3 linked regions of the Alligator mississippiensis genome follow. The protein of the gene in region 3 purifies or fractionates together with the protein of the main gene of each other region. This does not show direct contact. Links are inferred from orthologs where the notes say so. Each region holds a gene or a part of one and is shown on either strand. Other genes may lie near its edges.

Region 1 (7,156 bases), on a different chromosome or scaffold from region 3:
ACACCACCACCAGAGAGGACACAGGCAGCAATTGAGTCACCCCACCCCTGCACTCTTTAATGGGTGTGATGGCAACCCCTGGGCTTTTAAATGCTGGGGGGGGAGAAAGGGTGTGTGGAAACACCGGGGGGGGGGGGGGGGGGGGGGGAGAGAAGAGGGCTCCCTCTACAGATGGTACTGCTAAATTCAAGAGTTAGAGAACCACTGATACGCAGTATTCAAGATGATCGTTCCTGCTAAAATCTGTACAGCTTATTCGTTACCTCTATAAAAAATTATTAGGAGTAGGCAGCCCATCCGTTTAAAGCAAACCCTTGATTTATGAAAATGTAGATAGTATTATTGTAACTAGAGACGCAACAGTATGGGCAACATTTCAGTCAAATGACTGAAGTACCCACAGATAGAGAAAGAAAGATTATTTTTCTTTAGTTATGAACAGGGATCCTGGTTTTCTGTTTAAAAATCGCAAATTCTCTGCTAAAAAAAAAATCTCAAATTCTTTGATTAAAATCCCAAAAATCACTATATATAGGTATCAGTTGAACATAGTGTTTTATTGCTTTAAAATTGTAAATATATTAACCTGGAAGTCTGCCGGTGCTTCAATCACTATAATAAAATAAATTCTAAACGCTTATAAATATTGGCATTTGATTTGGGAGGTTTTTAACATGCAAAATCAGAGCTCCACCTACCCTCTTCCCTGACCGGACACGGGTCCAGCTGCAGCTATCCCCCACCACTGTTTTGTGGGGCTGAGCAGCCCTGATATGCTGGTGCCCTGCCTATGCTATTGCCCCTCACTCTCCACCCACAGCCCTGCCAGTACCCCTCACACCCCACCCACAGCCTTGTGGCCCTGTTGGTGCCCGGGGCTGGGTTTGGGAGGCAGCTGAGGCCAGGGCCAGGGAAACAGCAGCTGTTTGCAGCTGGCCCAGGTTCTGGGTAGCTGCTGATAGCCACGGAGCTTGGGCTGGGGGGCAGGGCACAAGCAGGGCATCCTTCCATGTGCCACCTGCCCTTGTTTTGTTTTTCTGGCATGCCGGCACTCCAGCACCTTTCAAAGTAGGCACTGTGGGGTTTTTTTGGCACTCAGGCCAAAAAACATTGCCTACCCCTACTCTATGTCAAGGACATCTAGCATTTTTAGCTTCTGTTATAAGCAAACATTTAATTTACTTACCAGCTGCCATGATATACTGTCCATCCCTTGACACTTTAATTTTTGTGCTAACTGTAGGCATGTCAAAGTCCTGAATAAGTTCAATTCTTCTTCGAAGATCTTTAAAAAAATTAAGGAAAACATTTGCCTTTAAAAACGGGGCATTTATTTCTTATAGAAAGTTATTATACACCAAATATAAGAAAAGCCATCCCTCATTTTTATGTACAGTTAACATAAGGAAATTAATGAGTTCTGTTTAGCACTCAGAAGTGAACAGCATCAACGCAAAGCAATACATACTACATCAGCATATAAAATGAACATGCTGTATGACTCTTTATGATTACATAACTGAGAAATTGTATAGCTTATGCCATTATCTCTACTACACTCATGTAATACCTACCCCACACTTACCTCTCACAAGTTCCATATGCCACTTATCACAATTGCATCTAAATACTACACAAAGTTAAAAATAAATCCCAGACTAAAGAGGCACTCTGCTCTGGGCAAAAGGGAGAGTGGAAGGCTTTGTTTGCATTTTTTAAAGATCATGGCTTCTGAGGGAAAAAGAGGCAGCTAAATGAATGTGTGCCATTTTATATCTCCAGCTCAATACCAGACCCAGCAGCAGAATGTTCTGTTCCGGGTACTTTGCAGGGAGAATATGCAGTCGCCCTGCCTTGTACTTAAGAGTCTATCCGGTCACACTGCCCTGAGGATCACATCCATCACCTTCTCTAATGTGGACAGTCCTTAACATAATGTACATGTAGAAGTGGTAGACCAAATCTGCCATTAAACCTCCCAGACTAGAGCAACCAGCAACTAAAGCTTCACAGGAATTCAAGAAGAACATATAATTCACCCAGCACTGAAAAAAAGGAAACACTCTTTCTTGACCCCTTATCTAGATCAACTTGCACAGCCAGAAATAACTAGCAACGAACACACAAGAGCCAAAAAGCTATCAATTCTTAAATCAGCCTGTAAAGCTCTTTGGTCTCCATAAACACAACCCATTACTGCTGAACAGTATGTGCTGAAGGCAACTCACCGACATCTTTCTTTTGGAGCGCTCTCTTCTTCCTATCAGAAAGCCACTATAAAAGAAAAACTGTAGCTGTCAATATTTAAAAGGAAGGCAGAGGGAGAGTTAGTTAGGCTTATCAAATTTACCAATAAAACAAAGTGAGGAAGTGGCAGTCTTATTAATATTTCTGTATTCGTTGTCTCAAACAAACACATCAAACACGTGCATGAATACCTATTATTTAATTTAATAATTTGAGCAATGTTATGCTTCATAATCTTTAAAACATCACTGAAAACTTAAACACAGTGTACTTAAGAGTTTAAATGCATCTATTATTTTAATAATTCACATTTGGAATCCCCATGCACGTAAGGAGCCGAGCTCTACTTCTCCCCCACCCCCATCAAAACTAAAAGAGTTACAGTTCCCCAAAACAGCTTTCCACCCCTTCCCATCTCGGTGCTCAGAGCTCCGGCCTGCGAGGGGCCTCCAGGCCGCCCACCCTGGGAGGCTGGGGGCGGCAAGGAGGGAGGGAGAGACAGCACTAGTATTTACAGATGGGTCCTGGTATAGACAAGGTTGGGAGCCGCTGCCGTGGGGCACCACCCCGGGGTGCAGCAGCAGTGCCGGGCACAGGGGCGCTCACGCTCGGGCCCGCAGTGGCAATCCCCGCCCCGCGCGGCCGGAAACTGCCCCCGGGCTCTCCCGACTCCGAAGCGGCCCCGCGCCCCGCCGCGCTCACCTCGGGCAGGCTGCGGCCTGCGCTCAGGCTGTAGATCTTCACCTCGTTGAGGCTGGAGACCTGCATGGCGCCGGCGCCTGCGCGGACTTTACTGCCGGGTCAAAGGCCAAGCGGAAGTCAGCCGGGCCCCCTCCGCGCAGCGCAGCGCAGCGCAGCCCCGCCCCCCGCGCTTCCGGGGGCTCTTTGACCCGGGGGTGGTGGCCGGCGTTGGGGCCCGGCGTGCGGGGGAGCACGTGTGTGCGTGTCTGTATAGATATATCTCGACACACGCAGACATATGTACGTACATATATACACGTGTATACATACATGCCCGTGCGTACATGTACAAATGTACACGCATGTGTGTATATATCCACACGTACAGCTACATGTGTACGTACATGCACATACAGGTACAAATGTACACGTATGTTCATGCATGCACATGTAGACAGAGCTGTCCCTAGGCTTAGGCAAATCGGGGTGATGGCCCCAGGCCCCGCGCTTTGGGAGGGCCCCACGGAGCCTCCCCAGGCCGCAGCCCATCCCCCAGGGCCCGCCTGGAGCTGGCAGCTCTGCCCCACGCCATGGAAGAAGCACAGAGAAGGACAAAGACTGCCCCCAACTCTTTGCGGGGTTACCGTGACCTCACACAGTGTTAAAGGGGGCTCCCACACAGGAGGATTTGCCCCAAGCCCCACACCCCTCTAGGGTCGGCTCTGTGTACAGTATAGCTACACGGGTACATACGTACACATACTAGTGTACACATACACATATATGTACATGCATGAACATATGCATGTGCTCATACACATGTACATATCCACACGTATAGATACATGCATACGTACGTACACATATACACATATACATGCATGCACCTACATACACGTACAAATGTACACATGCATACGTGTGCATGCATGCACGTACACATGCAGACATGCAGGCACACATGCTTCTGCATGCACATACATAGATACACACATGCAGTGGTGATGAGTAGCAGGTGCACGGGGGTGCATGTGCACCCCCTGAGAGCACCGGTGCACACCGTGACTGGCCATGCTTGCCACGTAGGCGATGGGTAGGGGGGCAGGCAGGAGCACCGGTGCCCTCCCCTTCAAGCACTGGCCGGGGAGTGGAGCACCGTGGCGCTCCCAGAAAAGGCCACAGCCACTTCCAGATGTGGTCACAGCTATCAGCCGTTTCGCGGCCGTTTTCGCGACACTCCCCCTGCCCAGGTCAGCAAGATCGGCCAAGGGAGGACACACCTTGGCCGATCCCCCTGACCTGGGGGTTCACATGCCCCACCTGACTAAGGTGGCACCAGTCACCCATGCACATATGTACATACATATATGTACATATGTATGTGTATGCACACATACACATACACGAACACATATATGTGAATCCAAGTTTGCTCTACCAGGCCATGAAGGGGCAGCGCAGAGTACGAAGTGGAGTGGTTAGAATACAATAGGTGAGGAAGCTGGAGGGGCGAGCGGGAGGCACGTAAGAGACAGGCAAAGAACACTTGGGATAAAGGGGTCCCAAAAGCGAATCCAGGGGCCCGGCTAGAGCAGATCAGTTTCTTTAAAATGCAGCATATTTATACACATACATTCGTCTGCTTCGACACACCAGAGATCCAGCGCTTCAGAGCAGACTCCATTAATCAAGTCTGCTTCACAGACATGCTAATGCGACCAGCACAACATCACATGCATTTGTATAAATGGCAGCAGCTTGCTTTTAAACCAAATGTATAAATGAGACAATGGCAGCGGTGTGCTTTTAAACTAAAACACCTTCGATGTGTTTTAGTTCAAAAGCACGCTGCCACAATTTTCTCAGCGCTGACGCACATTTTGCCATTTATACAAATGCACACACCACAAGCATGTGTAGATGGTTTGAGGCTAACCGCCCTTTGTAAGACTGGTGTCAAGAGAAATCTTACTTAGATTATGTCCTTCCATCCTAGAAAGAACAGTTATCATAATTACCTTTTCCTGCCAGAGACAGTTTGACCATTTTAAAAGCTGGTGAGAGGTCCTTCGTGAGCTTTAACAATTTTCCCCAAGATGCAACACCTGTAACTCCATTGGACCATGTCAGCTGCTTGAACTAGAAACTATGTATGTGCCAACAGCTGCTGCGCTTGAAGTCAAAACTGCCCACCCAGACCAACTCAACTGTGCTACTTAAACCAGTTTGTCCCAAGTCCATTCAGGGGGTTTGAATCAGTGTAAATGTTCTCCACTTGGCAGAAACAAGCTTGTATTTATTTATTTATTGTAAAAACAAAAAGAAGGGAAAGCACATGGCTTTAACTGCTATCCTTTATAATGCTGCAAGATAGGTTTCTTTGGTATCCTTTAGTCTATGGGAGATGATGGATATTGCAGCCTATGATATAGATGGTTTGCAGTGTCTCATGTGAATGAATAGTTCATTTCGAGATTTGCATGATCTGTGGCAGTGGTTACAAATGTATGTCACGGTTGGGTGGTTTAGGAGCTGCTTGCTTCCTATGGACTCTTTTCTTTTCAACTTGTTGGAGACAGTTTCTGTTGTGGATTTTGATGCCTTGGTGGAGACAATGACAACACCACTTGTTACCATGAGAGACTGGTGCCTTCTGAATCTCTGGGGGACACCCACAGAAGGCGCCGACCCTGTCAGGGGGAGCACCGGCCCTACCAACAGCATCGGTGTTGGCCATTGGGGGGCCACCGGCCCTGTCGGGGGGGGGGCATGCGCACCCCTGTGCACCTTCTATCAGTCATCTATGCTTGTTACAATCACCTGCCAAGGTTTTCCATTGGTCAGGATCGATTCCAAATGCCTTCATATCCTTTGCTTTATTATAAACACAGGACTCTATTTTCACCAGGTTTTTCTGTTTTTAAAAATATACACAGCCCACAAGTTGACAGAAAACAGGTGTTCCTTCAGAGCATTATTTGAAAAGAATGCAATCCATTTGAAAGATCCTCCAGGTCTTAGTTGTCATTTTTGTTTATGACTTGCAAAGATCTTTTCATAGACACATTTTTAGTTGATACTTTATTTACAGATATTAATATTTGATATTACTAATAGTGTTGGTCTTTTCACCATAGCCTAACTCAAGGCATTTAGATTTCTTACAAAGAAACCCTTAAGCAGGGTTTTTGTAACTTCTAATGTATAGTCTCTATATACCATGAAGGCCTTTTCCTCCAGTTTTGATCATCTTATGTAAAATATTACTAGGAATTTAAGTACATGCACAGCACCTAGCTTTGACACACCCTAAGCTAAATTTTCTCAGGAGAATAAGCACTATGTAGCATACCCTGTTACAGTAATAACCAGGGACATAGCAAATTTGGGATGGCTGCCCCCCCCTGATTTTGCAGTCCAAGTGTGGTGCCAATCACCATTTTTGTGGTAGAATGGATCTACCTTTTTCACAGGGACATACCAGTTTTGTGGTTTCCCTGAAAACTGCAGCGTCATGAATTCAGTAGGTCCCTAGTAATAGCATATATTGCGCTTTCTGCAGTTCAAAGCAAATAGCTTGGATCTTCCAGTTTATATCCTTGGAAATCCAGTTCACAGTCAGAATTGTGCTGCTTTACAGTGATGGATCCATGGTATAGTCTTCAAACTAAACTTAAGCACACAATTAAAGAAACAATCATAATTCCTTTACAAACAGCATTAAACAGGCCAATCAACTCTATGCCTAACAGTCTTCTTAAACCCATGGGCATTTGTACTTGTGCTGCAGCGCCAGGCACTTTTAAAAGCACCCGGTGCTGCAGCACATCCATTTGTATAAACGGTAAAATGTGCATCAGCACTGAGAAAATGGCAGCAGCAGGCTTTCAAACAAAAATACATTGAAAGTTTTAGTTCAAAAGTGCACTGCTGCCATTCTCTCAGAGCTGACCTGTATTTTGCCATTTATACAAATGCACACAACACATCACAGGGTGTGTCAGCTCACGTGCGGAGTTGACTCAATTAATCGAGTCTACTCTGATGTGCTGGATCTCCAGCACATCAGGGCAGACAAATGTATGCATCTAAATGCCCACATACATCTCCTTTGCATTACATCTTGAATTCCACATTTCAGGTCGGAGCAAAATAGCTTGTGCCCAATTCCTCTATGTAGAGAAGACAATTAACGTACTGGTTCTTGGTTTAGAAACATCACTCAGGT
Region 2 (7,865 bases), on a different chromosome or scaffold from region 3:
ATGGTGCCTCTTGGGAAGCAAGGGAGGGCTTGTGAGCCAGGCATGGCTGGGCCAGGGCCTCAAACCCCTGGCCTGGAGGCTGGAGGGCCCGGGAGGCAGCTGCCTATAGGAACATGCATTTCCTGCTGCGATCCCACCCCAGAAGCAGTCGCATCTCGGCCCTACCTTGTGTGTCCTGGTGGGTCCTGGAAAGAGGAAGGTGGTGGCTGGGTCTGTCCCCGGGGCTGGAGTCCTGGCAGGGGAAGGGGTCAGCAGGGAGCGGTGGAGACCTCCCCCGCGTGGGCGCAGCCCCTCTGACCAGGCCCGGACAGACACACGTTGTACATGCAGGGAGGTGCACACGGACCACACACACATATAAACACTGGCTGCACACACATGCCCCCCCTACCCCCAGATGGCACACACAAGTCCACACACACACAAGCACCGATTGGACACTCACTGTGCACATCTACATACACATTGCACACATGGATTGCACACATACACATCTGCACATGGATGACACATACCACTTGCACAATTGAGTGCCCTACACACTTATACAGAGCACATACATGTGCAAGGAGACGTGTAGCATACACATTGCACAAGTGCCTACATGAATTGCACATGCTAGTTCACACACAAACACAGATCGCACACACATTGCCCACATACATGTTCCTACAGATTACATGCACACGTACATGCAGACTGCACACACACACAACCACACACATGTGTAGACACACGGATTGCACACACAAGTGCACACATGCAAACATAGGCCCCACACATGCAAGAACACATGCCAATTCCACATGCAGGCGGTGCACTCACACAAGTACACACCTAAGCACAGATCACACACACAGACTGCACAAGCACCTATGCTCACAGACACACACCCCAGTACCCACATGCGTGTCCACACAGATTGTACATGCGTGTGCTTGTAGACAGCGCAAGTGAGGGCATCACAGATGTATGTGGCTTGCACACACGGATGGCACCCCTGCACGTTCACATACCTGAGCGCACCCCCCCGGTAAACCTGTACACACACACATGCATGGACACGCACATGACACCCACCCAAACAAGGTACCCAGGCCCCTGCTCCCCTTCATACCCCCCCTCACCCCATGGCCCCTCCAGGGACACCCCAACCTCCCCCCTGCCCTGGCTGCTTGCCCCCTCCTCACCCCCCCAGGACCCACTGACCCCTGACAGCCTCCCATGCCCCCCCAACCCAAGGGGACCTTCTATGCCCCCACCCAGCCCCAGACACCCCCCTCCAGGACTCATGGACCCCCTAACACCCCTTATAGACCCCCCTGGTATTCCCCCCCCAGCCCCAAACCCCCCCAGCCCACACACCTCACACCAATGCTGAGGGGCCTGTGAGGGCGGCTGTTGAGGGGGCCCCTATATACCCCCTGCCCCCCACCCCTGTGGCAGGGCAGAGCCAGGCCCCCGCCCCCCCAGCCCCACTTCTGTCCTCCCCCCACCGGGGAACAATTGGAAGCTCTCGTCATTGTCCAGGAACGATGAAGAATAGGAACAGGTTTGGGGAGGGAAGGGCGGGGGGGCATCCCAGGCATCCACGGGGCTGGGATTCCAGGGCAGACGGACGCACGGACGCCAGGCCGCAGCCCCTGCCCCCCCACAGCCTGTGGATGCCCTTCACTCCTGAGGCATAGCCCCTGCGCCCCCCACCAGCCCCCTCACTCCTGACCAACAGCTCCCTGCCCCGCCCTGCAATACCCCTCACTCTCCATCAGCAGCCCCCAGCCCCACAGGCTGTGTCAGCCTGGGAAACATTATGGGATGGAAAATTAAATTGCCATAGAAACACGTGAGCACAAGGACCTGGTCCCTCCAGTGAATGGGACCCTGGACACTTGGGTTCTCTCTCAGCTCTGGGTGGGGGCAGCGAGGCCAGAACAAAGGGGTCCTGGGAGCCTGGGTTCATTCCCCAGCTCTGGAGCAGGGGTGGGATCTTGGGAGGGTCAGAGCTAGGGGAGTGGGGGCTGGCAGCCAGGACGCCTGGGTTCTCACCCAGCTCTGAAGGGCAGTGGGGACTTAAGAGGGGGTGTGGGGGGGCATTGGGAGCCTGGATGCCTGGGTCCTTTGTGTCTGCTCAGCTCCCTTCCCCCAGGGCCAGGCCAGACTGACAAAGGACAGGTGGGGGGGACGGGCTTGCTTGGTCCTTGAACAGGTGTCAGGCCCAAATCCCAAGTGTATGGGTGGGGGGGATGGGGCACTGTGCCATTCTTCTTAACCCCTTGTGTGCCAGAGGTCCACCCAGCCTCCCCACCGCCCATTTGGCAGAGGGAACGCAGGTGACCGGGCCCCCAGAAGACCCCACACCCAAGAACCCAGGTGTCCAGGCTCCCCCTCCCTCAGAGAACCCAGGTTTAGGGCTCCCAGACCTGTCTCTCTCTCTCTTCCCCCTATTCTTTTTTCCCCTCCCCCCACAAGGGTAATTTTAGCTGCCACCCCCCCCCACACCCCTCGCAGCATTCCCTGCCCCCCTGACACTCAATCCCCCCTTCCCCATGACGTGAACAAAGGGGCCCAGGACAATAGGAAGGACCTTGAGAAGGACCCGGCCTTATATAGCCGTGCCCGAAAGGCCGGCCAGTATTAATAGCCACTAGCCAAGAATAGAACCCAGGCATCCAGGGAGGGGGAGTCTTCCCCCCTCTACAGCTCACCGGACCCTATTGTCATCCCCAAGGCAGGAGAGAACCCTGGAAACTGGGCCGTGGGGGCGGGGGCAGCCCCCTCCAGCCCAAAGTCCCATTGGTCTTCCAGAGCCCAGAGGGAACCCAGATATCCAGGGGAGACCTCAGATCCAACCCACCAACCCCCCTTACCTCTAAAGCCCACTGGACCCCACTGGTGTCCCAGAGCCCAGAGAGAGCCCAGGGGTCCGGGGGGCTCCCACCCCTGAGACTCCCACTCCCTTCCCACAGCTGGACAGAACCCAGGCACCCGGGCTCCTAGCCCCTTGTTCTACTCCTACTCCCCCCAGCCCAGCCCAGGGCTTGGGGCTGTGGGGAGATAGGGCCCGGATGCCTGGGTTCCCTCTTGACTGGGTGGGGGAGAGTGGTTGGACACCTGGTTTCTGTCTCATGTTTGGGAGGGGAATGGGGTCGGGTCCCCGGACACCTGGGGTCTATCCAGCTCTGGGGTCCAGTGGGTTAGAGTAGGAAGTGCTGAGAGCCTGTGCTCTTAGGTTCTTCTCTGGGAGAGGAGTGGGGGCTGGCATGTTAGAACGGGGGCACGGGGAGCCCGGACACCTGGGTTCCCTCCCAGCTCCAGGAGGCTTTGTGGGGCCGGGCACGTTGGGTGAGGGGGAGCTGAGAGCCTGGTTTCCATTTCATTGAGAGCCTGGACACCTGGATTCCCACTCAGGCCTAGGAGGGCAGCAGGGCCTGGGCGCCTGGAGACCTGGGTCCTGTTAAACCGGGGCTTCCCTTGGCAGTATCCCAGGAAATTCCCCTGCCCTCCCCCCGCACAGCTGGGCGGGGTCCAGGCACCTGCCATTGCCCCCCAGACAATACCCCCCCACCCCTGGTCCCAGTAGGCTGGGTCTCGTGCCGGTATTCGCATACCAGGGGGGCGTTAAAGCCCAGCGTCTGGGCTCCCAGCCCTGTCCCCCCACCCAGCAGGCAGAGTACCCAGGTGTCCTTGGTGCCTGGCCTGGCTGGGACAATAGCCCGGTGCATTCCTTGGGGTGGGGCATTTCCTATTGTCTTGGCCCCAGCTATTGTCATCTGGGCCAGGGGCACCGCAGGGGATGGACCCAGCAGTCCAGGCTCCCCAGCCCCGCTACCCTCCCTAGGCAGAGCGAACCCAGATGCCCGGGACCCTGACCTGCACCCCGGACACCTGGGTTCTCTCCCAGCTCGGGGAGGCTTTGTGGGCCTGGCAGGTTCGGGGAGGCAGGGCTGAGAGCCACCTTCTCGCTCTGAGGGCAACAGAGGTTGAGAGCTGCGATGCCTGGGTTCACTTTCCGCTCAGGCCTGGGCACCCAGACACCTGGGTCCTACGTAACTGGGGCTGCCCTTGGCGGGGTCCCAGGGATTCCCCCCCCCAGCTGGGCGGGGTCCAGGCACCTGCCATTGTCCCCTAGACAATGCTCCCCGCCATGGTCCCAGCAGGCCGGGCCCCAGGCCAGGGGCGTGTGAGAACCCAGGCATCCAGGCTCCCCCCGCCAGGCAGGCAGAGAACCCAGGTGTCCTGGCACCCAGCCCGGCCAGGCTGGGACAATAGCCCGGTGCATTCCCCGGGGCCGGAGCGTTTCCTATTGTCTTGGCCCTGGCCATTGTCATCTGGGCCAGGAGCAGGGCAGGGGAAGGCAGCAGCATCCAGGCTCCCTGCTCCCACCTGGCCCTGCTGCTCTGCCCAACCGGGCGTCCAAGCCCGGACAGCTGGGGGCTCTGCCAGCTCTGGGGGGACACTGGGGTGCAGTGGGCTTCGAGGGTGGGGCACAGCCCCCGAGACCTGGGCTCTCTCCCAGCTCTGGCAGGGGCTGTGGGCACCGCGAGCCGGAGGTCTGGTTTTTTGGGAGGGGCGCAGGGACTAGGGGGTCACGGCACTGGGGCGGGGGCCGGACACCTGGGTTCTCCACCTGATCTGGGGGAGTGGGGCCCCCTCAACCAATCCCGCCGCGCCTCTGCCCTTCGCTCCCGCCCCCTCTCCGCGCCCATTTGTCCGCATCTTCCCCAAAACGGTTCCCCCGCCCCGTTTTCATCTCTCCCGCTCCGTGATTGGCTCGGGCGGCCTGAGGAGGCGGCCGCTGCTGGGCTGTGTCCCTTCCCACTCGCCGTCAGCGTGGCGCACGCGCTGATTGGCTGAGTCGCCCTAGCGGGGCGGAAGCGGGTGGCGGGGCGCACGTGGGCGCGGGACCGGGATGGAGCCGGGCTGTAGTACCGGCCTGCGGGTGAGTGGGGCTCGGGCTCCTGGGACCCGGGGCTCGGACTTCTGCGTCCGCGCTCTATCCTTGGGCTAACCCGCCGCCGCCTCCCCCCAGGAGCAGGTGGTGACTGATCTCCCCCAGGCCTTGGCCCTGCTGACGGCGCTCCCAGAGCAGGTGAGATCTCCCCCATGCACCCCGCCCTGCGGGTGCCCCTCACTCTCGACCGCCCCCCCCCCGCAGCCGAAGTGGATTGAAGCCCGGACGTCTGGTTCCCCCGGGCTCCGGGAGGGGGGAGAACTGTGCCCCAGACATCTGGGGTCTGTTTCCACGGGGGGTGCCCACGTCCTCCTGCCCTGGGTTTGGGTCTGAGCTGCATCTCTGCAGGTGGCCGCTGTGACCGCGCACATCCAGGGGCTGCTGCAGAGGGTCCGGGCTGGCGTCTTCCCCACTGCCAAGGTAGGAGCTGGGGGGATACCTGCCCCCTCCCCCCCCCAACCCATGTTCTCCCTCACCTGAGACCCCCCTCAGACCCAGGAGGGAGCCCAGGCATCTGGGCTCCCAGCTCCCCTGCTGTAGCCAATGAAATCCTGCTCCGCTCCGGGACCCTCTAGGGGACCCAGGAGTCTGGGCTCCCAGCTCCACCTCCACTCAAGCTCACTTGATTTTGCTCTCCTATGGGACCCAGGTGTCTGAGCTCCCAACCTTGCCTTCTCCCAGCACAGGCCACAACCCCTCCCAGAGCTGGGGAGAACCCAGGAGTTGAGTCCTAGCAGATACTTCTTGTTTCTTAGCCTATCAGAACCTGCACTATCCGTAGAGCAGAGAGAGAACCCAGGCACCTGGGCATCCCTTTCAGATCCCACTGCCATGCAGGAGCTGGGCGAACCCAGGCATCTGGATATCCAACCCCCTCTGCTCTAACCCCCAGTTCCTGCCTTGCTCCTGGAGGACTCAGGTTCCCCCTTCCCTTTGCTCTAAACCCCTGGACTCCACTCGCTTCCCAGAGAACCCAGGCATCTGGGCTTCCACATGTCCATCTGTTCCTGCAGGGCCTGAGCTTCCTGGTGCTGCGGCCGCAGCTGCTGCTCTTCTACCTGCAGGACCTGGCGGCCGTGCTGGCAGCCAAGGCGGGGGGGCGCCCGCTGGCCGGCACCGCCTCTCCCCTGCGCCTGGCAGAGCTGCGCACGGTGAGGGGGTGGGGTTAGAAGGGAAGGGCTGGTCTTAAGGTTTGGGGTTGGGGTGTAGAGGGGTATTGAGGGTGGAGCTAGAGGGGTGGGGGTCTGGGGGTATTGGGTGTGGAGCTAGGGCAGGGGCAGGCAAAATGCGGCCCACCAGGCCATTCTATCCAGCTCACAGGGCCCCTAAAAATGTAGAAAATTAATATTTATCTGCCCCTGGATGCCTGTTATGCAGCCCTTGATGGCTTGCCAAAACTCAGTAAGTAGCCCTCCATCCAAAATAATTGCCCACCCCTGGGCCTAGGGGGTGTTGTGGCATCTTGGGGCAGGTGTTGGGAAGGGGTGGGGGTAGAGGGGAGACAAGTGGAGCTAAGAGATGTAGAGGTGTGGGGCAGAGCTAGATGAGGAGGGCTGGAGCTTAGGGGGTGAGGGCTGGAGCTTAGGGGGTGGGACCTTGTAGCGGCGTGGCTCAGCTTAGCCCCACCCCCAGGTGCTGGAGAAGATGCGGCCCATCGACCACAAGCTCCGGTACCAGGTGGACAAGCTGGTGCGGGCAGCGGCCACCGGGGCCCTGGGTGAGTTGGGGGATGGGGCCAGGCACAGGGGGGTGGGGCCAGGCACAGGGAGGCTCACCGCCCCTCCCCCTCCCTGGGGGGCACTCTGTTTGCAGGGGGGGATGACCCACTGCGCTTCCGGCCCGACCCCAGCAACATGGCCAGCAAGGTAAAGGGGGAGGGGGGGCAGCCCAGATGCCTGGGTCCTCTGTGGGGAGAGGGAGCTGGACTCTTGGGCTCTCTAGTGGGGAGGGGGCCCAGACACCTGGGTACTCTGGGTGCCACAGGGGCAAGGGCTCATGGGTTCTCTAGGAGGGGTGGGTGGGCCCAGACGCCTGGGCTCTCTTCCCCTCTAAAGCTGTCATTGTGGTTCCAGTTTGGGGAAAGGGGTGGGCTGAAAGGTCAGAGCAGGGGAGGTTCCTGGACTCCTGGGTTCATTGGGAGGGGGAAGCATTAGATCACTGGGGGCTCTGAGCCCAGACACCTGGGCTCTCCCCACTTTACAGAGGGTGTGGGGGGGGTGGGGACAAGTTACAGCAGGGGTTTCCCTGGATGCCTGGGTCCTCTCCTGCTCCCGGTGCCTCATTTCCACACCCCGCACAGCTGAGTGAGGATGAAGAGGAGGTGGCCAGTGGCCCAGACCCTGGGAAGAAACCCGCAGCTGCAGGAGGGATCCGGAAATACATCCCACCCCGTCTGGTGCCGGTTCACTATGGTATGTTTAGACAGAATGGGGCAGCCTGGGTTCCTTTGTCTGCAACACAGCGGGGGCTGGCTAACAGGCCCCCAGTGCCCCCACACCCTGGAGGTCTGTGTCAGCTTGAGGGGGGGCACTGTATAACCAGCCCTTCGGCCCTACTCTAGAGTCAGCTGCATCTGGGTGCCAGGTGAGGGCTCCCTATTAGACATGGCCACCCTACCCATCATGGGCATCTCAGTACTGGTTCCCTGTATGCCTAGCACATCCCACCCCAGAATCAGGTGCATCCTGGTATTGGACAGGGGCTCCCCTTGCATCCAGCCATCCTACCCCAGATCTAGCTGCATCTTGACAATGGATGAGGGCTTCCTGTTATGTGGGCCATTGCACCCCAGACCCAACTGCATCTCAGAGCTGAGTTCCTGTATGCCCAGCATGGCTCACCCCAGAATTAGCTGTGTCTTGGCACCAGATAGGTGTGGCAGCTCCATATAAATGATGAGCCCTTAAGTCAGCTC
Region 3 (7,483 bases):
TAAAAGGGGAAAGAAGTGAATGATTTGTTTAAGGTCCCACAGAGGGCAAGGGCAGAACTGGGGCCTCTCATCACACTATTCACTAAGCCACAAACACACAACTACAGTACTTTCCAGAAAAAGCTACAACCGATCAGCCTGCCTTCACCCTCTGTGACAAGAGGGCAAGACACCTGGCACCAGGGCAATGGGCTTTGATACAAGAGAGAAACTGGACAGACAGGGAGAGAGGACAGGTACCAGAGAACCTGCAAGGCCACATATGCAGGTCCCATGGCAGGAACATCCAAGAACTGATGTTAGGCAAACACAAGGTCAGACGCAAGAACTCATTCCTTCAGAATCAGAAAAAACCTAAAATCATACCCTACTTGGTTTCTCAATGGTTAATGAGATTGTGTCAGCCTGACAGGGTATTACTGTCACACACAACAGTATGAGTCAAGTTAACGGACTGCATGCTGACCATGGCACACCAGTCAGGCTATACCAGGCCAATGGCACCAAGCACTGCGATAGCTAACCTCAACTCTTCAGAACTGTGTCTGAACACAATAACTTGGGTCATGGAGACAGGCCAGAAATCCTTGGCTTAGTTGGCTATTGAAGACACTCTGTACTGGTGTTCTGGGATGGATGCAGGAGGAAATGGCAGGTATCACTTTAGAAACTAAAAAGGGACTTTCATGTCATGTTACTCTGCCAGCAACTAATTTCTCAAAAACTGCACTCTCCCTAGAGGCAAAACAGAGGCACGCAGAAAACTTGAGATTAAGGTAGCAGGAAACATTCATTCGTCTCGAGTATACTAAGTAGTAGCCTAGGCAGCTCAGGTGCTCCAATTTAAGGCGCTAGACATGTTAAGTCAACTCATCCTCCTGGCCTCCTCTAACTCCATTTGTCTCCTATACGCACTGCCTTGTCTTCACTAGGAGGGCTCAATCAGCAGAGGAATGCCAGCATAGTACTTCCAGGGTGAATGCAGCTATACCGCTAAAGCTGTTTTGTTTTGTTTTTTGGGTGGGGGGGGGCAAGAGGGGGTAGAGTGTTTTGGTACAGGGGCATCAACCCACAATAAGCAAACCAAAATTTCAATCTGCATCTCTGATAACTGCATCTACAAGGGAGGTTCCCACCAGCACAGCTATATCAGTAAAGGACCACATTTCTCCTCTGTCTGGGAAGACTTGAAACTTTTCTTAAAATATGGTTTAAGTTTAGTAGCAATTCCTGATCGATGCTTATGGTGTTATTGTCTATCAATCAGCCAAGGATCAGGGTTCCACTCTGCTAGATACCAAATCGGCATAATAAAAACGGGCCTACCTGAAAGGGATTACAGTGTTAGCACATGACATGTGTGATCTCTGCACTACAGACCCTTGCTGGCACATTCACATAGCTTTTATCAGCATCTTAAACCAGACCTACGCTAGTCAAAATAGTCTTTTACTGTACAACTATGTCTATCCTACAGCTTTGGACTATACAGCTGGGGGCATGATTTATCCACACTCGCAGCCAACGGAGCTATACCAGGCCTTTTAGGTACAGACCAGGACTATAACTGATGGACAGACCCTTCCCCAAGCTGGGGGAGGTGAAAATAACATCTCCCATCAGTTTTATGGCTCACATTGAGATTAGGAGTAGCAGTGAAGACAAATACCTATCCAGTATATCCAGTTAAAGGAGACCTTGTCTGTACCAAGCTGCTTTTGCCATCAAAACTTTTGGCAGCAGACAGCAAATCACCACAGCTGCTTCACATCTGCACGGCTTCTGATGGCTCCCCATGGCTCCGCTGTAACAGCTGTGCCAGCAGAGTGTGAAGAGCACCTGGGAAGGCACCAGCTGCTAAAGGACCACAGCAGCCGGCAGAAGTCTTCTTTTGCTGGGGGAGATGGTGCTACTCTGCCTGCAGAGAGCCTGCGAGTGGGGATGCGCTTCTTTTTCTGCTACCGGCGTAGATAAAACCTGAACTCCCCTCTTGCTTGGCAAAACAAGAGCTGAGGCAGCACCTTGAGCTACTCGTAAGAGAGAAAGGTCCAAAATGGGAGGAAAGATCCAAAATGGGAGACTCATTGGAGGGCAGGTTAGAGGCGCAGGCAGCCTTGGGACTGGGTGGCAAGAGAAGTGGCATAAACCCTTTCCTCAGGGACAAGAAGACTTACGGCACTATTAAACCTGAAGTTGGCATGGCTTTAGGGCCTTTCCAGCCCCTCCTTTTCTCTAAAGATATATGCGGCAGGGCTAGACTTCTCACCAATCAACTGCCCCAGGCCTGCATTGGTATACGTGTTCGCTCATCTTCTTCTCTTCGGCTAAATTATCCGTGTTATTTCTCAAGCCTGAAATAGTAACGGACGCAAACACGGCCTTTCTGGTGCAGCCCGACGGCTCTCCTCGTACCTAACGGAGACGCAACGGGGCTACCGCACGCCGTCGCCGTTAACGTTTAATTCTCTTACTAGCGCAGGCCAAGTGCCTGAGAAAGGAGAGAGAAAACCGGAGGGGGGAGGGGGGGAGCAGGAAAATAACGGCATCAGAAAAGTGAAAACAATCAAAGCTTTTATTAATGTCTCCCACCGCTGCGTTATTTTGCTCTGGCGCCGTGCGTCCACGGGAACGGAAGGGACACAATGGCTTTGAAGAAACTCGAACGGGAAGGAGGTGGATTTGGGCCACGCTCTTATTTTTCTCTTCAAGACGACAGAAAGGGGTCGGGTGTCGTATGAATAGAGGACAGACACGCGGGCTGTCCGCTGTGAGGGCTACCCTAGGCACAGTGCGTGTGGACGGGGAGGAGACAGGCTGCACCGGGGCAGCTAGGAGGGGACAGGGCCGCCGCGCAGGCTCCTCGGGGCCCGGCCCCACGTGGGGGCCGCGATAGGCCGCGCCTGCTCCCCCGTTCCCTCCCCTTGCCCCCGCCTCACCGTCCTCGGGGTCGTCCTCGGGGTCGCCCGCGCGGGGCCGGGGGTCGAGCAGCAGCTCCAACTGCTCAGCCAAGGGCGCCGCCATCTTGGGCCGAGGGAGGCGCGCGGGGCGGGGCCGCCCCTCCCCCCGCGCGCCTCACGCGCAGCCGTTAACGGTCGCCGCGCGGCGGGGCTGAGGCACAACCGCCCCTCCCCCCCCCAACCACCCACGCGGCTCCCTCAGCGTGGCCGTGCGGTGCCACGAGTGCAGCCCCCTCATCAAAACCGTGTCCCTGCCTATGTGGCTCACACATGAAACACCCCCTCCCTCCAGTTTTAGCTGCCCCCCCATTGCACCCTGATTTCTGAGGGGGGGTCCCACATACATTTTGTTGCCAGGTTGCATTTTTGCAACCCCCCCCCCTCAAAGAAGGACCTTATTTGGTATCAGGCAGCCCCAAAAACGCACTGTCTCCTTAATAGTCTGAGGTGGTTGGGTTTTTTTTAAAGGAACGATTAGTTTCCAGAAGCAGGAAAAAAACACGTCAGATAGTTAAGAAATATGTACAAACACCTCCGGGAAAATGAAATCGATGCTTACCTGTGGGGGTCGTGATCAATATTCAACCGTTTTGGGGGCTACGGACAACGTGCCGTTACCGAATTGCGTTTCCGAAACCGTGACGCTACAAAGTGCAGGAGGGGTGAATTTAGGAGTCTGTGAATCTTACTGCCCTCCCCTCAAAATACAAAAGATCCCTATGGGTCGAGAGAGGGGGTGAAAAAAGGCATTTAGGGCTGGTTAGATACATGCCCCCGATCCACCGTGATAGCCACGGGGAAAAGATTTCACCCTTTCACCCTTCGGGTGAAATCTTGGCCCTGCTGATGTCAATGGGATTTTTGTTACTGACTTCAATAGGACCGGGATGTCACCCGTTGAGATCAATGGGGCTATTGTTGCGCCGAGCGTCCCGCCGTCCAGCGAAGCGTTTGAGCTCGTGTATAACACGAAACGTGACCGATCCTATTGGAGTCGACAGGCCTAATTCTGCGCCTGGGGCAAAGTCGGCGTAAAACGCTAGCGGCTCCGTGTCAAATTTGCAGCGGTGTAAATTGCAGCGCGAGGTGCAGGGCGCGTCCGCTCCCGTTCTGAAAGCGATTCAATATATTTGTCGTGCCGGCTCGAATCCGAGGGCAAGATATTGTCCGTATAAAACCAAACCAAACGCACACACAAATTACCGCTAAAATCATCGCTGCTTAGAACGGTTCGAAAATCCCAGTGCCACGTTACCATTCATTTTCTTTCCTTTGTGCATTTCACTCAGCTTGGATAATTAAAACAGGCAGACACACTAGTCGGTTTCAGTTCCTGGTTCACATGCCCTAAAACCATCCTGCTGCTGCTGCTGTTTGGATTCGTTATCAGGCAAAAGACTGTTTGGATAAATATTAACAAAAACAATATAAATTCATTTTCTTTTATTTTTTTTTTTTAGATAACCACGAAAGCATTTCGTATTCATATTAGGCAACGCAAAACCCTTTCCGTCTGCGAACTGAAAACATATTGACATTGTTCCTAGCGTAGTTTCGCTTTGAATTTTACGGCAAATCTACTTGTTTATTTGCCAAAATTTAAATATTGATATAAAGATGCACAAGCAGGCTTTGGAAGAATATACTGTAAAAATCCTCCTCCTCTCGTTTCTCACGCCCATGTTTCCTTTTTTGCTCTTAATGCATGTGGCTTGTTAGTATTTGGGAAACTGTCAAGATGTCAGCCTTGATGAACCAATGACAGCATGGGACATTTTTGGGTGCTGTATAAATACATACATTTAATAATAAGGCATAGCCTTTTCATAAGAGTTTCTTTCTATAAATGCAAAAATGGGGAAATCTATAGAGATAGAAAACATCCAGACATCTACACTGAATACTTTGCTGCTCTTCTGTGTAACATTTCAGTGTTCAATATCACTCAGCAATTGTTTCTTACCTTTATCAGATAGCAGGTGGTGTTGCAAGCCGGACTGCAGCATACAAGCATCAGTCTCTGACAGAATTCCTATACGTATCAATGGGAACTGCATGCCTGAGAGGTACATCTACTGACTCACAACTGAATTCTGTATACAGAGCAGTATACAGCCCTAAAATAATTAGGGACAAGAGCTAATTAACCCTTTCCCCCTGAGAACAATGAAATGGGAAGTGTCATTTTTTTTTCTCCCAAAACACACATTTTCACTTTAGTCAGAATATTTTGGCTTTAAATTATATTGGTTCTATATGTGAAAGAAAATGTTTCCAGCAGCAAAATGTAATCACTGGAAAAAGGGAGACAGGAAAAAACAAGAGAGGGAGAAGCACCAAAACTTCACAGTTTAAAAAACAAACAAACCAAAAACCCAAAAGATAGAATATTGAATTTCTAAAAGAAAATCAAAATTGATTACAACAAACATTTTTCTTCAGTTCTAATAGAGATACAAGGGCAGTAGCTGGTACATGATATATTTTTTCATCTGTCCTTTCATTTATTGAGGGTAAGATTATCAAAAAGTGCTGAAAGGAGTTGAAACACCCAACTACCAGTGAAAGTTCCAACCCTACTGTATATTCTTGAATTTTTTAATCTATTTAACACATTTAAAATAGAGCCAGGCAGTGCTTAAAGATGTTAGTCATAGGAAGAGCGAGGCCAAATAAAAATTAGGATAAATTCTTTTTGAGGGAGTCATGTATATCCTTGACCAAGGGCATCTCCCACACACAGCAAGTGAGTATACTCTGTATTTGCAGACAACAATGAGAATGCAACATTTATGCCCTATGTGCAAAGTACACGTGTGCAAGAGGGCTTTTTTCACACACTTAGCCACCCCCCCCCCCAAGGTTGCAGGTCAACAGAGCTTTTAAGCATATGCTTACTCTTAAAATCCCAGAGAAGACATAGGGCTATGTTTTCTACCTAAACTTAAGCATATGCTTAAAGAGCTTTGCTGCACTGGGGACATAATGCCATATGTGAAACACTCAGCAAAGTCATGGCAGATTTGCTTGCAGCTCAGTGGCAAATCTGAGTCCTTTACATTAGTGGTGCCAAATTTCTGAATTCAGCCTGCCTGAAGTATTCATCAGTTCCCCTATAGAGTCTGGCCCTAGAGTCCAAACTTCCATTAAATAAATACCCACACATACCCACACAAAACAGGATGTTCCTGATGCTAATGCTTGCAAAACCTGCCTTGCAAACGTTGAACCCAATGTAACTAGTGCAGAATGATTTTCCTGCATTTGCAGCCAACCTGAAACAACACGTCTAAGAGAAGCAAATCACCCCATTCCACCCAATGAAGTACTGTTGATATAGATGACAAAGCTCCAAGAGACACATTCCAACATTTGGATGCACAACTATGTATCTGGTTGCACACTTAAGACAAATGTATACACCAAATATGATAAATAAAATTCCAAACAATCGGTTGACCTAAAAAGTGTCCTCTCTTATTTTTCTCCCTTATTCAGTGATATTAAATACAACAGTGGCTTCACTAATTGAAAATTCAGTTCCACATAAGACTGCATCCTCCCATCAATCTCTGTAAAATGTTCCATTTTCAGCAGTCTCTGTGCACCAAGGCCCTACTTTCCCAGACCTGCCCTCCAGATTATAATTAAAAATTATATTTGGCCTTCTTAGCAAAGCAAGTAATAATACTTCTGCAATAACTACTGTCCACTCAAGTACAGTAGCAACATAATAACATATAAACAAACAGAAGACTTTCCCAAGCTGATTCCTCTTGAATTTAACACTTGTGTTTCATGATGTATGTAACCTTTCAATACTTTGTCTTCTCTGTTACACAGCATTGTCTAGATTTGTATGTCCACGTGCCTTACTTAACCTTAAACATAACTGAAGTCTTATAAAGGTCTGTTTGCAAGGCTGGTAACTAAAATAGAAACTGCAATTCCTTCTAAGTAATATGATAAAAGCACAAGACCTAATCATATCACTTTTGTTCATGGAAAAATCTCAAATTGCAGCTAATGGAATTTTTGCCTGAGTAGACAATGTCGTTTTGGTCCTTTCCCTGAATAGCAAAAGTATGTATATCATTGATCATATTTTGAAATTAAATTTATTTATAGATTTGTATCATGTGCCCATCGCTCTATCTGGGCACAGGTTCATATATTAAAATAATATACATAATTTGTCTACAAATCATAACTGGAAGACCATTTTTACTCCAGGGATACTGATCTTTACAAATCCCCCTACTACGCCCTCAAGCAAAGGCCTGAGTAAATAGATAACAGAAATTACTAAAGGAAAAATTAAGCTGATACCGACATCTATGGGAGTTTCACAGAGAGCGAGCAGAGTAAAATATGGTACACGGTTTGTAACAAAAGAAGAATTGCTTGAATGCTGGAGACTCAATAGGTTAAGATCATTCAAATTATCCATTAGAAATATCTTCTTAATTTAAGTTGGTGTAATATAAATAGTATTTACACTATTTTCACACACTTCTTCTCCAGTA

Evidence for each region.
Region 1: the proteins of AATF (region 3) and NOL10 purify together in Homo sapiens (affinity purification with mass spectrometry; 4 studies listed by BioGRID and IntAct, counting the BioPlex papers as one, with this or other methods). This does not show direct contact. The link is inferred for Alligator mississippiensis from reciprocal best matches to the Homo sapiens genes AATF and NOL10.
Region 2: the proteins of AATF (region 3) and NGDN purify together in Homo sapiens (affinity purification with mass spectrometry; 3 studies listed by BioGRID and IntAct, with this or other methods). This does not show direct contact. The link is inferred for Alligator mississippiensis from reciprocal best matches to the Homo sapiens genes AATF and NGDN.

The regions. Positions count from the first base shown.
Region 1 is NC_081824.1:29,634,366-29,641,521, reverse strand, and holds the start of NOL10 (nucleolar protein 10), read right to left. Parts: upstream 3,055-7,156; 5' UTR 3,016-3,054; coding exon 2,950-3,015; intron 2,275-2,949; coding exon 2,229-2,274; intron 1,286-2,228; coding exon 1,187-1,285; intron 1-1,186.
Region 2 is NC_081830.1:7,522,625-7,530,489, forward strand, and holds the start of NGDN (neuroguidin), read left to right. Parts: upstream 1-4,811; 5' UTR 4,812-4,909; coding exon 4,910-4,939; intron 4,940-5,029; coding exon 5,030-5,089; intron 5,090-5,299; coding exon 5,300-5,371; intron 5,372-5,964; coding exon 5,965-6,102; intron 6,103-6,583; coding exon 6,584-6,668; intron 6,669-6,763; coding exon 6,764-6,816; intron 6,817-7,250; coding exon 7,251-7,362; intron 7,363-7,865. Other genes in the region: myosin-7, read right to left, coding at 1-2. UniProt on the Homo sapiens protein: Part of the small subunit (SSU) processome, first precursor of the small eukaryotic ribosomal subunit.
Region 3 is NC_081837.1:5,466,381-5,473,863, reverse strand, and holds the start of AATF (protein AATF), read right to left. Parts: upstream 3,059-7,483; 5' UTR 3,022-3,058; coding exon 2,937-3,021; intron 1-2,936. UniProt on the Homo sapiens protein: Part of the small subunit (SSU) processome, first precursor of the small eukaryotic ribosomal subunit.